Neurospora crassa OR74A: one gene and its partner. The protein of the gene in region 1 interacts with the protein of each later gene in a pairwise test. Links are inferred from orthologs where the notes say so. Each region holds a gene or a part of one and is shown in the gene's direction. Other genes may lie near its edges.

Evidence for each region. The genes of interacting proteins can lie anywhere in the genome.
Region 2: the proteins of NCU02406 (region 1) and NCU01234 interact in binary tests that used the Saccharomyces cerevisiae proteins (3 or more experiments, as listed by UniProt). The link is inferred for Neurospora crassa OR74A from reciprocal best matches to the Saccharomyces cerevisiae genes SGD1 and FAL1.

Annotation. Positions count from the first base shown.
Region 1 is NC_026507.1:2,608,189-2,615,985, reverse strand, and holds NCU02406 (nuclear protein), read left to right. Parts: upstream 1-2,429; 5' UTR 2,430-2,502; coding exon 2,503-2,572; intron 2,573-2,661; coding exon 2,662-5,351; 3' UTR 5,352-5,619; downstream 5,620-7,797. Other genes in the region: NCU02405 (hypothetical protein), read right to left, coding at 1,389-1,720, 1,893-1,971, 2,054-2,077; NCU02407 (dihydrolipoyl dehydrogenase), read left to right, coding at 6,674-6,732, 6,820-6,872, 6,945-7,024, 7,112-7,797. UniProt on the Saccharomyces cerevisiae protein: Involved in osmoregulatory glycerol response, probably through its interaction with PLC1 which regulates the expression of GDP1.
Region 2 is NC_026505.1:3,305,894-3,313,645, reverse strand, and holds NCU01234 (eukaryotic initiation factor 4A-12), read left to right. Parts: upstream 1-3,474; 5' UTR 3,475-3,746; coding exon 3,747-3,849; intron 3,850-3,930; coding exon 3,931-4,971; intron 4,972-5,025; coding exon 5,026-5,084; 3' UTR 5,085-5,223; intron 5,224-5,285; 3' UTR 5,286-5,579; downstream 5,580-7,752. Other genes in the region: NCU01236 (GIY-YIG catalytic domain-containing protein), read right to left, coding at 1-1,001; NCU01235 (splicing factor 3a subunit 3), read right to left, coding at 1,605-3,020, 3,078-3,167; NCU01233 (aldose reductase), read left to right, coding at 5,764-5,805, 5,893-6,698, 6,765-6,786. UniProt on the Saccharomyces cerevisiae protein: ATP-dependent RNA helicase involved in 40S ribosomal subunit biogenesis. Required for the processing and cleavage of 35S pre-rRNA at sites A0, A1, and A2, leading to mature 18S rRNA.

The DNA of each region.
Region 1 (7,797 bases):
GTCTTCGATGTGGCGCTCGGTTCAATCTTTCCAATTGCACTACTTGTCTACGGACAGGTGGCTATGGTCAGGGATTTGGTGGCCATGAGCATTGGCCTGGGATGGGGCAGTAGTCTGAATGGCCGCATGACAAGCATGTGAAGGATGGTGTCGGAGGAAGGAGATTGAGGAAGTTGAATTTGCGACATGCTTTACCTTGCCCAGTTCTAGCACATGGGACAAGTAAATCCCACTGAAACTTGTTGCTCTTTTTGCGGCTGACATTTGGCTCTTCGGCCTTTCTTTCAGCAAGTTGTTTACGGTTCGGACCCTCAAAATGGACAGTTGATCTTGTTTCACCTACATCCCCCCACCTTTAGACTGTACTCTTGAAGAGAACATGCAATTATCTCGGTTGACCTTAGGATTAAGGTCGAACATTGGAACTGCGACTCTTGGTAACCTGAATCAAAGCCAATCAAGGTGAAGCCAACGTGATGTGACGTGTTCGTGGTGTTTCATAATGGTGAATCGAGTGGAGAACGGGTGAGCCGGTTGCCCTTCAGCTGATGCTCATAAGTGCGGCTCAAATATATCTACGCTTGACGTCAGGGTACGGTAGCTGCTGCTCCACCCGGGCAGTCTTGTTATTTTACCAAATGAGAAATGTTAACTTTGCTAATAGGACCGTTTAGATCGAGTCACCTGGAGATACACGCTCTCCCGGTGATCAAGTTCACACCCAAGACAGGATCGTGAAGGCCAGCCAGCAGATTTGGAACAAGCATATGAACGTTATCAATTCGGCTCGCTCTTACTCTCCCCTTCGTTCAACAGCTTCTCTGTTGAGGCACAGCAGTCGTTCTCTCACGCTTCTTCCGTCACTCATTCATTTCATGTTCCTCTCTTTCCCTTCCATCTCCATTTCCACGAAGGGCCGCATACTTCCTGCGGCAGGACTGAACATTCTCCAGAACGGGCATATGATCCCTTTAGTTCGCACCTTTCATTAACTCCAGTAGCTCACGTAGATAGTAGATGTGCGCTGCACGCTAGATAGGCAGCTGAGCTTTTCATATTCCCCCTTCCCCCCCTCTCCCAACACCTTTTTTTTCTTCCCTTCCTTTCTCGCTAGTCGTCTTGAAGGGTAATACCAACTACGAGCAGGTGAGTCGAGAGGTAGGGTAACCGAGAGTGGCAGATTGAAGGCTATGATGCGGTACTACTCACCAACGCTTTCCTTACCATGCGTACCCACTGACTTGAACCAGGGTATTCCACCAAAGCTTGGGAATATTACAAAATTTAATACGGTACCCTCATACAGATCCCTCCTTCCGTTAGGTCATGTACACACAAGAAGACAGAAACAGCAATGGTGTAATTTGCAACGCTTGTTTCGAGTCCAATCAGGGAATAGCCATCATAGAAGTCCCACCAGCACCAACACCAGGACCTCCAGCGGCTGCAGGACCTGTCTTCTTCTTCCTCGACTGCTTTTTCCTCTTGGTCCTGTCTCTCGGCTTCAATGCCCCCATGCCCTTCTTGCAAACATCGGCGTACCTCCCGTAGAAGGTTTCCAGGTCGGCTGGCTCGACAATGGTGGACAGCTTGACCTTTTCTGTCCTCTTGTCCTTGCCCTTGGCGTTGGTGGCGCGGATGAGAACCGGGAGCGGGGTGGCAGGGTTGAGGTCAGTGAGAGGGTCGGTATCCGTGGATTGGGAAGGGGTGCTGTAGGATACTGTGGGAGGGTTAGCTTTGGTGACGGAGCTTCACTCTACTTAGCTCATCGTGGGTGGATGGAGATGGAGTTTAAGCTTGGAAAACAGCGGAAATTGGGAGGATTGTCGTGACGATAGCAAAGCCGAGTGTGAAGTTTCCTGTCTGCGCTGGGTTGGTGTAGGTACACGTACGCCTCTTTTGTACTAGGTTGATGGTTCCGTGATCTTGGTTCTTCCTATACTCGAACAGATTGGTGAGCTTGGAGAAGAACTATATACCATAGTCGGTTGAAGTCAGATTAGCATGGTCTCCTCAGGACGGGATCACAGCAGCCAGTCACATATAACATTACCTCATCGTGAGTTAAATGACCCATGATATCCAGTTGTTTTTCGTCTTCTTCTTATGCTCGTTTGCAAAAGGCAAGACAACAATTCGGCTGAGGAGTGAATGTGAAGGCAACCTAGAATGATTGATGAAAGTCAACGAGAGTGGCAGCTTTCCCCACTGCTGTTGGCCGGGCAGCTCCCGTCTGTCTGGTAGGAGTGAGCTTCCCCAGCGTAAAACCAGCCGGGTGGGGTCCCAAGCAGCGGAGGACCCGCTTCATCTCTTGGCGCTCTTGGCCCCGCAGTCGACATGCCTGGAACCCTGCACCGACCGATAACCAAAAAAACTATCTGATAACGATAGCAAGGTCCCGATCCCGCGCTCTTCCATGCAGCGACGGACGAGAGAGCCTTGCAAAGTTTGGAGGTCGTGCCAATCAATCACATCTACACCTCCGCACGCGCATATTACAACATGGCACCCTCCATGAGGATAAAGGCTCCAAAATTGCCTGACAACCTCCTGAAGGAGCTCGGCGTAGAAGGTGAGCGTGCCTCCGTTCATGCGCCCATACAGCCATTGTCATTCCTGCCTGGCAATCAGGGTTCTCCGACGAAATCCTAACTCTTGCAGGACAATCTCACGGAGGTCGCAAGAATCAATTTCAGTCTAGAAAGGATCGCCGTAAAGCAGAGAGAACACAGAAAAGGATTCACCGCACCTCGTCCACAAGAAGTTACCATACCGAGCGCGCTACAGCCCCAAAACCACAGAAGAAGGTCGATGCCGCATCGTCAAAGGAAGCAAAGGAACCCAAGCCCATCTTGAAGAACGGGAAGAAACGATCATTGGAGGATGAGGATGAAGATGTTGCCCTCGAAGAGGACGATGATGAGGATTTCGATGACGAGGGCGATATCGATCTTGACGAGGACGAGGACGATGAGCTAGACCTCGACGAAGAAGACGACAAAGACGGCGAAGACGTGGACGATGAAGAGGAAAGTGATGTCCCAACACAAACCATATCGAAGTCGCAGCCCAAAATCTCAAAAACTGTCATGGAACGATTGGCGCAAGACGACAAGGAGATCGCAGACCTCGAAAAGAAGCTCGGCATCAAGGGACGCAAATCGCTTCCCAAGTCCTTCCAGGAGGATGGTCTTCTTGATCTACTAGAAGGCCTTCCTGGCGTAGACGACGAAACAGCCGAGAAAAGGAAGCGGAAGTCCGAAGCGGATGAGTGGCTTGCGGCGAAAAGGAGGAAAGCGGAAGAGGCCAAGAAGACGAAGGAATTCGAACTAGACGAGGAAGAAAATGAAGTCTCCGAACTGGACGAAGAGGACGATGGCTTGGACGATCTCTTAGAGGGATTGAACTCGGACGAAGACAACGACGTTGACCAAGACGAAGACATGGTCGAAGGCGATTCTGATGAAGATGGAGAAGAAGACAGCATCTTGGGCGAGGATGAGGGGGATTTTGGAGGATTTGACGAGGACGACGACGAGGACGACGACGAGGACGACGGCGACGACGACGAATCCGACAACGACGAAGAAACGCTACAAAAGCCGCCAGAACGGGTCCGCGAAAACCCATATGTTGCGCCTACAACTGGGCGGACTGTAGTGAAATACGTGCCACCATCGAAGCGACAGGAGGCGGGCTCAGAAGCGGAGTTGGTGGCCCACATTCGCCGTCAAACACAAGGTCTCATCAACAGGATGACAGAGTCTAATCTTTTATCCATCATTATGGACTTTGAAAAGCTTTACCGCGACAACCCGCGACAACATCTTACGTCGAACATTGTCGATCTCCTACTCATTCAGGTGTGCGAGCCAACGACGCTGCCTGATACGTTGCTCGTGCTTACCGCGGGTTTCGCTACGGGTATCTTCAAGGTGATTGGCATGGACTTTGGCGCACAGTTAATTCAAGAAGTGATCGAGCGATTTGATAGGCATTATGAAGAGGCCAAAGAGGCTGCAAAGGAGCGGCCAGACGTGCCGAAACAGACATCCAACCTCATCACTTTCCTATCCGAACTCTATAACTTTCAACTCGTGGGCCCTAACTTGCTCTTCGACTTCATTCGAATCCTTTTGGGTGATCTTTCGGAGCTGAACGCGGAACTTTTGCTCAGAATTGTGCGCATTGCTGGCCCAGCCCTCCGACAAGATGACCCCATGTCTGTCAAGGACATTGTTACCCTTATCCGCCCGGCTGTTGCCAAGATCGGAGAGAAGAACCTCAGCGTCAGAACTAAATTCATGATTGAGACCATCAACGACCTGAAAAACAACAAGATGAAGACGGGTTTAGGCGCTTCCGCCGTTCTCACGGAGCACACAACCAAGATGAAGAAGCTTTTGGGCACCTTGAAAACCATCAAGACGGCCGAGCCCTTGCGAATGACCCTTGCCGATATACGCGATGCCGACAAGAAGGGCAAATGGTGGCTTGTAGGCGCTAGCTGGGCAGGCAGAGATAAGGACAGTGACAAGAAGCCATTGACCCAGGACGGTGTCATACAGGATAGCGTTGACTCGGACGACGAAAGCTTTGTCTTGGAGGATGTCGAGGACATGCCTGACCTCGGAGAACTTGCCAGAGAAAACCAGATGAACACGGACGTGCGCCGGTCCATCTTTGTGTCGATAATGTCCGCCACGGACTACGAAGATGCCTACTACCGCATCCTCAAGTTGCGCCTGAACAAGGAGCGACAGAGAGAGATTCCATACGTGGTCATCCAGTGTGCCGGCGCAGAGCAGGTCTACAACCCATACTACACCTTGGTGGCCAAGAAGCTTTGCGGGGATCGCAAAATCCGGTGGTCGTTCCAAGACGCGCTCTGGAAGCTATTCAGGCGTCTCGGAGAGTCAGTTTTTGGCGATGACGCGGAGGATGAGGAGGATGTAGATGCGATGGACATGCGGCGGCTTGTCAACATTGCAAAACTGTTTGGGGCCATGGTGGCAGGTGGATCGCTAGGATTGGCAATTCTGAAATGCCTCAATTTGCCTTATCTACAAACCAAGACGCGGGCGCTAGTGGAGATCCTGCTGATTACTGTGCTTCTTGAAGCCGGAAAAGGCGGCGACAAGGATCGGGATGAGACGATTACTTCGGTGTTTGTGGCTGTGGAAGGGGTCCCCGAGCTTGCCAGAGGCCTGCAATGGTTCATCAAGAAGGTGGTCCGGAAGTCGGATCTCGCGGGAGGGGCGGCCAACACCAAGCTCGTCAAGGAGGGTTGCAAGACGGCCATGGCGGCCTTGGAGCATGCGCTGCTCGCCGCCGAAGGCTTGGTGGAATAATTTTGCTTTGTTGGATACCTGTATATGGATCGGATATCTTCGGGAATAGCAACATAATGATCAGGGATACAAGTGTGCCGGGGTCTATACAAAAGGCCATTGACCAATATCATGACAAGTTCATGGAACTAACCCAAGCATTCTCGCTCGAATGTAGTTACCTACTTTGTAGATATTAGCGTTGACGGCGGGACTGGAAAAGTTGGGGGTAGCTTTAAGTTGGGGAACTTGTTGTCAGGAAGGGCGATTTGCTACTAGGGATCCAGGGAGCAACCGACTCGAGTGTGCGGGAGCCCGGAAATATAGTGGTCTGTGAATAGCACTCAATGATGTCATTTCGTCTTGCAACGAAGGGACAGGGTTTCATGAGGGTCGGGCGGGACTCTTGATTGTGGACATGAAGAGGAGGCAGATGGTTTGAGATGAATTGCCTGCCATGTGTCATGTCGTTCGACAAACAACTAACCTCTAAGACGGGTTAGGGACAGGTTATGCTTCTCCAATTCGGCAGCTGGGCAAGCTGGGGTTATTTGGCGTTGACGGGCGGAGTAAAGAGGGGAGCAAAGAGGGGATCGCGCCAAGGAGCAAGATGAATGTCAAACACAACCTAAGCTGTCAGAAAAATGGCTACAATACATAGCGGGAGTGCAGAGATGTCAAAATTTTGGAGTCAGCTGCTGCACGCCAAGTTCGTCTTGACCAATCACAGGACGCAATGGAGCGTACCTAGTACCGTACGTATTTGGGGACGGGTTTCTTCGACGAAGCAGTCAGGGCAGCAGCGACAGTAAAGTAAGACGGCGAAGAGCGCGCTGCCCGTCCCGCCTAACACTGGCATCATAGTACTTTTACTTCCTGTAGCACACTACCTCTACACTACTAACACGATCAGGCAGTACCTACCTACCTATTTAGTGTAGCGTACGCGAGATTAGAGGTACCTACTACCTACCTAGGTAGTGGTGTTCCTACTCCGCTCCGTTCGTACCTACCTCTACCTACTCCGCTCTGCGCTGTCTCGAGCGGGCCAGCTTGGGGACGGGCACGGTGGAAAGCGGGTGCCCTTTGAGCGATGTGAGCCTCTGACGGGCTGGCAACCCGAACAAGTGGGACTGGACATTTTTCGCTTGCCGTGAATAGCTTCCGCCTCGAATCCCAACAATTGTCTCTCCCGCGGCGTTTTGCAGTTCAGTACACACTTTCGACGTCTCACCATCGAATCGCATTCCCTGCTTCCCCGGGCATCTCTCTGCAGTGCGCTCGTTCCTTCGAATTTTCCCTGTTTCCATTTCTGGTTTTTCCATTCAGCACATACTTTCACCATGCTGTCCCAAAGATTAATAGGCCGTGCTGCCGTCCGGTCCGCCTTCAAGCCCTCGGGGTAAGCTCACTGTCCCGGTTGCCGGCGGATGCCCGACACACTGTTTTCTCATGCGCGTACTGAGGCTGACCTGACGACCACATACAGGCTCCCTGTCGTCGTTTCTCCCAGGTTGAGGAGGACCTATGCGACCGAGTCTGGTCTGTTTGCCAACATCAAGAGCTGGTTCTCGTCAAAGGATTCTGGTCGGCTGACTGTTGATGTGCCCGTAGAGGAGAAGGATCTCGTCATCATTGGAGGTGGCGTCGCTGGCTATGTTGCTGCCATCAAGGCCGGCCAGGAGGGTCTCAAGGTGCGTCGCATCGCGAATCAACTACACCGCAACACCGACGAATGACGACAATATCTGACTGCTATCTCCCATGTTGCCTGGAAATAGGTCGCCTGTATCGAGAAGCGCGGCACCCTCGGCGGTACCTGCCTGAACGTCGGCTGCATTCCCTCCAAGTCGCTCCTCAACAACTCCCATCTCTACCATCAGATCCTCCACGACTCGAAACACCGCGGCATCGAGGTCGGCGATGTCAAGCTCAACCTCGCCCAGCTTATGAAGGCCAAGGAACAGTCCGTCAGCGGTCTTACCAAAGGTGTCGAGTTCCTCCTGAAGAAGAACGGCGTCGAGTACATCAAGGGTGCTGGCGCCTTCGCCGATGAGCACACCATCAACGTCAAGCTCAACGACGGCGGCGAGACCTCCGTCAAGGGCAAGAACATCCTTATCGCCACTGGCTCCGAGGTCACCCCCTTCCCCGGCCTCGAAATCGACGAGAAGCGCGTCATCAGCAGCACTGGCGCCATTGCTCTTGAGAAGGTCCCGGAGAAGATGCTCGTCATCGGTGGTGGCATCATTGGTCTCGAAATGGCTTCTGTCTGGTCCCGTCTCGGCGCCCAGGTCACCGTCATCGAGTTTCTCGACCAGATTGGCGGCCCCGGCATGGACCTTGAGGTTGCCAAGTCCATCCAGAAGATCCTGAAGAAGCAGGGCATCAACTTCAAGACCGGCACCAAGGTCGTTTCCGGTGACAAGACTGGCGAGACCGTCAAGCTCGAGGTCGACTCCGCCAA
Region 2 (7,752 bases), on another chromosome or scaffold:
TGCCCCCTGATCCTCAATGTCAACTCCTTCATCATATCTCCCCAAAGAACCTCGCCGTGACACTTTGGACACTCTCCCTTCACTGGAAGTATCTCATCCCCTTCATCGATCTTCATCCTCCTTGTTTCTTGCTTCAGGAGACACCGGCTCCAACAGTCAAGGTGTCCTACAGCCTCACAGCTTGTATTCGGGCAGATCGCATATAACCCCCTTCCCGCCACCATAGCTTCCTTACACACCACACAGCTCCCCTGCCTCTCAAACTCCCAAATCTCCTGACTCTTGGCCACATAGTCTTTTATCGGCGCGTAATCGAGCGGTAAAGCATAGATCCCATGTTTGTTCTCATCTTGCGCGTCGTCGCCGTCGTCGTCATCGTGCGGGTCATTCTCAGCTTCTTCCCCCATCCCAATCACGCCCGCCCCTTGTGGCGCCGTCGGACTGCCAAAGTCCGTAACCACCTCTACCTTCAAGTCTCCCAGCTCTCCCACCCCTCCACCGCCACTCTTAGCCTTCCAACCACCTCTCTCCCAGACCCTCCAAACATCCTCCTCAAAGAAATGCACCCTCAAAGGCCACCTCCCAAAGCTTCTCACCCCCACCAACATCCTCAAAGCCTCCATCACCCCCACCAAACTCTTCCTCGGCCTTTTCAGGTGTCCCGTCTTCCTCCTCCCCAGTCCCTTCACTGCCTCGGCCCTTTTTTCGGCAGGGATATGCAGCGACTTGTGTGGGTTATTCAGCGCCCATTCAAATTTCAGCGCGGCAATCATGCTCGGAAAACCGGAGACCAGACAGACCATGTTCCATGGCCGAAGAGATATTTTCGAAGTGCGATAGGCGCCACCCTTGGCGAGCCCGTTGTGTTGTGAGAGGCGCCGGGGTGGGTGAGGCGTGGAGCCGATGTAGAGGGAAGCGTGTCGGGGCTGGGAGCGGAGGATGTAGACTGTGTAGAGGGCGGGGATGGGTTTGGGTTGGATTTGGGTGGTGGTGGTAGACATCGTTTCTGTTTTCCCCTATTGGGAGGGAATTGGAAATGTTTTCTATAGGTGAGGTTGTCGTGACGTTTGGCTTGTTGTCATTTGCAGTCAAGACCTTGTTTCTTTTGGGAATTTCCCGGTGGACGATGTGCTTGATAATGAATTAGATGTGAACCGAGTGTCGCGTCAGTCAGGACAGTCGCCAAGAAGTACCGAACATTCGTTGATTGCACCCATTGGGCGATTGTGGTATTTTCGAGGTGCAAAAGGCAAAGGGTAACCAAGTTTATACGTGATGAAAATTGGTGACAGTGAAGAAGTGGAAGTTGCCGTCTTTGTTTACAAGATGTTGTTTATTCATGGCCGCAGTACCCGGAATGGCTGCCCAATTATTTCACGCCCTTGACTTCGCCATACCCCACTTTGGTGGGCCCAAGCTTTCTAAGCCCTTGGCTGCTCTGTTGAGTCTACAGGATGAAATGTCGAACAATCTTGCTGTCTATGTATTGGTTTATGTAGTAGTCCGAATTCATAGTTCTGTTTTGGACGGGGAGGACTTTGGGGTATTATGTTAATGTCTCAGAGGGGTGTTTTGACCTTGCTCATCCATCCTCTTAAAACCTCTCAAAGCAGACCCTGCTTCTGCAGATCAAGATATACCTTCTCAGGCATGACATTACCCTCAGCGTCCTCCATCTGCACGATCGAGCCCTCATCCACGTTGGTCTTTCTCGAGTCACCTTGGATCTTGTTCCAAAGCCTCACCGCCTCCTCTATAGACGTGATGTCTCGGAACAGATGTGTGTTTGTGATACCCAGACGCTTCAGGTTGGTGATGTGATTTGTTTCGTTGAAGTGCTTGTCAAAAGCACGCCGGCCGCGGTAGACAAAGTTGCCACAGATCTCGCAGGGAAACTCTTGACCCAGACCATGCAACCTGTAGAGCCAGAAGGGAATCGGCTTTCCGTCCCAAGCCAGCGGTAGCTTGAGCGGATTGTAAATCTTATCATCTCCGCCATCATCCTCGTCTTCCTCAGCCTCCTTAGCCTGCCTTCTGAACGTGGTGTTGTAGAGATTCTCCAACTCTTGTTGCCGCTCACGCTCCGTCATGCCTTGCCTACGTTCAACGTTCACTCTTGTGTCGTCCCGCTCCGTCTTCATAGCGCTGGCGAGCTTCTTGATGCGGTACTCCCTCTCAGCGACCGCCCGTTCCTTGAGGCGATGCGCTAGCGGGGCAACCGTGCCGTTTGATGTACCGTTGGCCGACTCTCCGTGAATCGCCGCCAACACCTCAGCGGCCTTGATGTGCTTCCTGCCGGTAAGATGGTTCTTGTAAACGTTTTCGTTCTTGAACTCCTTCTCGCATGCCTCGCACCAAACCGCGTCAGCGCTGCTCAGAGTGCGGTCTGTCGCAGAGCCGTTGGCCGCCAGTTTCTCCTTGCGCCAGCCTTCAATTTCGTCCTTTTCCCAAGCCGAATCGAATTCCTTGTCCCAGCCACCAAACACCTTTTCGAGATTTTCGAGTGGTCGCGTACGTCGAATGAAGGATTCCAGATACTCCATCAACTCGCCGAGGTACTTGAAATATTGATCGGTCAACTTGTCGGCCCGCTTGACTCCACCATAACCGGGTTGGAAGTTGTCAAAAACTTCAAGATACTGCATATACGGGAGTCGCTTCACATTGGGAAGGTTGAGGTAGGATTCGTGGCTGGCGTGCAAATCGAAGAAACGGCCGTATGCCTCTTCGCCCGAGAACATGCTTTCCACCAAAAATGGCTGATCGTCGCCATGCTTCCGCGGCCGGTACCAGTTTTCCGAGTTCTCGGCTTGCTCATTTGGGTACCGCGAGTGGTGTTCCTTGATAGTGGCTACTTGTTTGTAGAATTCCTCGAAGGGGTCACCACTGCCAATCTGCTGGATTTCCTTGGAGCGCACTCCAGTCTTGTCCTCGTATAGGGGAAGAAGCTCACGGGACTGGTGTTGAATCTGATCGAGGAGTTGGGATATCTCATGGTCACGATTAAGACGTTCATGAATCTAAGAATGTGTCAGCACAGAAGGTCTTGAGAGATACTTCGCGTGGAGGAAACATGCCTGTTTTGGCTCGTCGCGCAAACGGTCCGCGATACCCTGCTCGAGGCGTTCGAGATCCTCGTGAATGTATCTCTGCTCTTCTATCAACATGTTGACCAATGTGACACCCGCGAATTCCCCTATTCAAGAAGAAGTGAAAATGCGCGTAGAAGAGCCGGACTTGTCGTGTCGGGGTGCAGAATTGCGAATTGGAAAACTAGGATGATTTCTAGAAGAGAGGTTGTTGAAACGTGCTTTTTCGGCGCCACCAGTTGCTTCCGTGTACGAAGTCCAGAAAGAACAGCAGAGAAACACGTCGCGGCAGGCAAAGAACTCCCCGGCAAGTCCTTAGCGAAATCCACCAACTGCCCTGTCACAGATCCCCCGTCGTTCCATTAAATAAGGTTGGCCGACATTCTGCCGACCTGAAGGCTTGTCATCTTGGCAACTTTTTTTGACAACGGGAAAGCTCCACTCCAGTGCACGCCACACGTCGACATCGCATCCATCGTCAATCACTGTCGCGCTTTCGGTACAGTGGACTGTTTTTGTCTCGGGTGCAAATAATTTCCAATAACGAAGTCAACACTCCGGTCGAACCGCATCGTCAACATCCGCACCCACAACATCGCGTCCTCGGCCCTGACACACCTCAGAAACATACCCGATCCATCGACAGAATCGCCCACCATGGCTGACGGCGGAATCGATCGCAAGGCCGATGAAAAGATTCAGTTCTCCACCTCCAAGGAGGTAACGGTTCATCCGACTTTCGAGTCGATGTCCTTGAAGGGTAAGTCTTGTCGCATCGCATGTATTTCATGGTTGCTGTGGCTTAGTGAATTGGATTGAAACTAACTGGTTCTCAAAACAGAGAGTCTCCTTCGCGGCATCTACGCCTACGGATATGAGTCCCCCTCTGCTGTCCAGTCCCGCGCCATCGTTCAGATCTGCAAGGGTCGCGATACCATCGCCCAGGCCCAGTCCGGTACCGGTAAAACAGCCACTTTCTCGATCTCTATGCTTCAGGTCATCGACACCGCCGTGCGCGAGACCCAGGCCCTCGTCCTTTCCCCGACCCGCGAACTTGCGACCCAGATTCAGAGCGTTGTGATGGCTTTGGGAGATTACATGAACGTCCAATGCCATGCTTGCATTGGTGGCACCAACGTTGGCGAGGATATTCGCAAGCTCGACTATGGTCAACACATTGTCTCTGGCACTCCTGGTCGTGTTGCCGACATGATTCGCCGCCGTCATCTCCGCACCAGACACATCAAGATGCTGGTTCTCGATGAAGCCGATGAGCTCCTCAACCAGGGTTTCCGCGAGCAGATCTACGATGTGTACCGCTATCTTCCGCCTGCCACACAAGTCGTCGTCGTCTCTGCCACCCTCCCTTATGATGTGCTCGACATGACCACCAAGTTCATGACCGACCCTGTTCGTATCTTGGTCAAGCGTGACGAGTTGACCCTCGAGGGTTTGAAGCAGTATTTTATTGCTGTGGAGAAGGAGGACTGGAAGTTCGACACTCTTTGCGATCTCTACGACACTCTGACTATTACACAAGCCGTTATTTTCTGCAACACCCGCCGGAAGGTCGACTGGTTGACCGATAAGATGCGCGAAGCCAACTTCACTGTCAGCAGCATGCACGGCGATATGCCCCAAAAGGAGAGAGACAGCATTATGCAGGATTTCAGACAGGGCAATAGCAGAGTGCTGATCTCGACCGATGTGTGGGCCCGCGGTATCGATGTTCAGCAGGTCAGCTTGGTTATCAACTATGATCTTCCCAGCAACCGTGAAAACTACATTCATCGCATCGGTCGTTCAGGTAGATTCGGTCGCAAGGGTGTCGCCATCAACTTCGTTACTAGCGAGGATGTCCGCATCTTGCGTGATATCGAGTGTAAGTTTTGGGCAATCTAACCTCGGCGCCTTCGTTTGCTAACGGGAGATACAGTGTACTACTCGACCCAGATTGATGAGATGCCCATGAATGTTGCCGACCTTATCTCCTAAGAGGCTAGCGCGGGGTGTTTCAGGTGCACATTGGTCAAAATGCGAAGGGGCAGGTCGCGTCCGTCATTGATTAGGTCACAAAGGGTGGCTTCAACAGGACAGAATTCAAGTGGGAGGAAAGGGGCATGTCGGCCTTAAGGTACGGTAGCCTTCCACAATCCCGGCTCCTCCTTGTATACATCTTGCTGACCATACGACAAGGACGCTTTACAGATTGGAGAACATATCTAGGTGTTAATGCTAGCATGCGAACAAGAAATTCACAAGACTTGGAATATTCCAGGTATCACTTGATCTTGAGATACTATGGTTGTGATATCAACAACGAACCTTTTTTTGTCAGTCTAATACCTAGCGTACAGTTCAGTAAGCGATCACAACACGCTTAGCCCCTACCGGGGTTTATTTCGCATTGTGGAGTTGCATGACAGCTTTCTGACGTAACAATGGTCGCTACAATACAAGGCAAGGCAAGGAATTGCGCGCAATGGTCAACTGATACGGTAATTAACAAAACCGAAATATATCCGGCGATGTTGTCATCGTCCGCCGGAAGAGTGGGGACTTTGATGATTAACTCCAACATCAACCCGACAATAAGTATGCTCATTTTCACCTCACAGGGCAGACAACACCTACCCAACTTTCTGAACACATTCGCCGAACAAAAGAGTCAAAAATGCCTGAAACCGTGACAGACATGTTGAGCCGCAGAGTCAAGGTACGATTCGACATGCTGAAACTCTCCTCATCTCCAACCTCACAAGCCCCATGAGGTTCGCTTAGCAACTCATTAACACCCACCAAGCTCTCTAATGGCCTCTCCATTCCCCAAATCCAACTCGGCCTCTACATGATGTCCGGCCCCGAGACCACACGCGCGGTCCGCTGGGCCCTCGGTGCCGGCTACCGCGGCTTCGACAGCGCCCAATGGTACTACAACGAACGCGAAGCCGGCCAAGCCATCCTCTCCTTCCTGTCCTCCCCCGAAAACACCGCGGGCCTCACCCGCAAAGACGTTCATTTCACCAGCAAGCTGCGCGACAACAGCACCAATTACGACGCTGTTCGCGCTTCGATCTCCAAGTCAGTGAAGGCTTCTGGACTTGGCTACATTGACCTGTTCCTCCTGCACAGCCCGCTTGGCGGCCGCGAAGCCCGGTTGACCAGCTGGAAAGCGGTCGAAGATGCGGTACTCGCGGGCGAGGTCAAGATGGCGGGCGTCTCGAACTACGGCGTCAAGCATCTCGACGAGGTCATGTCAGCACCTTTTAAAATCAAGCCTCTCGTGAACCAGATTGAATGCCATCCATTCAACACGCAGCCGGAGATCAGGGCCGCGTGCGAGAAGTATGGTATTGTCATCGAGGCGTACGCGCCGCTAGCGAGAGGGATGCGCATGAAGCATCCCGTCTTGACAGCGGTGGCAAAGAAGTACGGGGTCACGCCCGCGCAGGTGTTGGTTAGGTGGTCGGTGCAGCATGGGTTCGTGACGCTGCCGAAAAGTACCAAGAAGGAGAGGTTGGTAGAGAATGCGGATGTGGGTAGGTTTGAGTTGGCCGAGGAGGATATGGAGAAACTGGATGGGTTGGATGAGAAGTTGGTTACTGATTGGTAAGATTTCCCCTCATTCCAAACCTCGAGTGGTGCGCTGACTTACTGACGCTTGGCGGTACGTAGGGATCCTACTGATGCGGACTAGATGTTCTCGGTTCGTGCCTACACGTTCGCCCAAGTACCTTCGGATTTACCAGTTCTGGTGCCTCCATGTACTTGATGTTATGGTCTGATTTGCAGATACGTAGACTTACTAAACCAGCGTATTTATTTCTTGTCCTCACAATCGGTTCGCAAACACAAGATATATGCGATTTGTCCTTTCTTACCACATCAACATATTACACAAACCAGGCAACACCTTTAAGCTCCGTTATTCTGGTGGCACTGGTTCCTCCCCACACCATATCTTCTTGTCTTCTTACTTGAGGTGGTAATAAGACCCCGGTTCTATTCGAGAGCCGCAAGTTGATGGGGAGGTAGAGCACTGTCCACGGAAAATGGATTCCAGATCATAGGGACGGCCGTCCTTGGCGGTCACCATGTAAACCCGCCAAGTCCGACCTTCATTGCCGACATATCACCGTCAGGAGACTATGAGTTCCTTCTGGGAATGGATCCGAGTTGCAGAGGAGGCAATCCTGCATCCTCAACCCACATTCGGCACCGTTTACAGAGTTGGATGATGAGTGCAGACCTACCAGAGGCTACAGGTGTCCTTGTGATACATTGAAAAGCTTTCTACACGAGCGGGGAAGATCATTGAACCATAGGCGGCTCAGGGTGAAAGAGGAAGGTGCTTCAATCTCCAGGTGGAATGAATGACAGCTTCACCTGCTTACGATGCCGTATATCACCCAAAGACGCACGGAGTACGGTTAATGTTACCTGAACATCGAGTCCCGAAAATAAAGCCCTGTTTGACCAAAGTGATGACCGAGGTCTCGAACTCACAAACGAACCAGTACTGGACTGTACTGTATCTACGTATAAGCTGGTCGGGAGAACTGGTGTGACAGCATTCATCATCATCCTTTGAAATTATCTTCGGCGACGTCGAGAATCATACCCATTGGCGACTGGAAAGGCAACCTAGTTGATCTCGAACGAA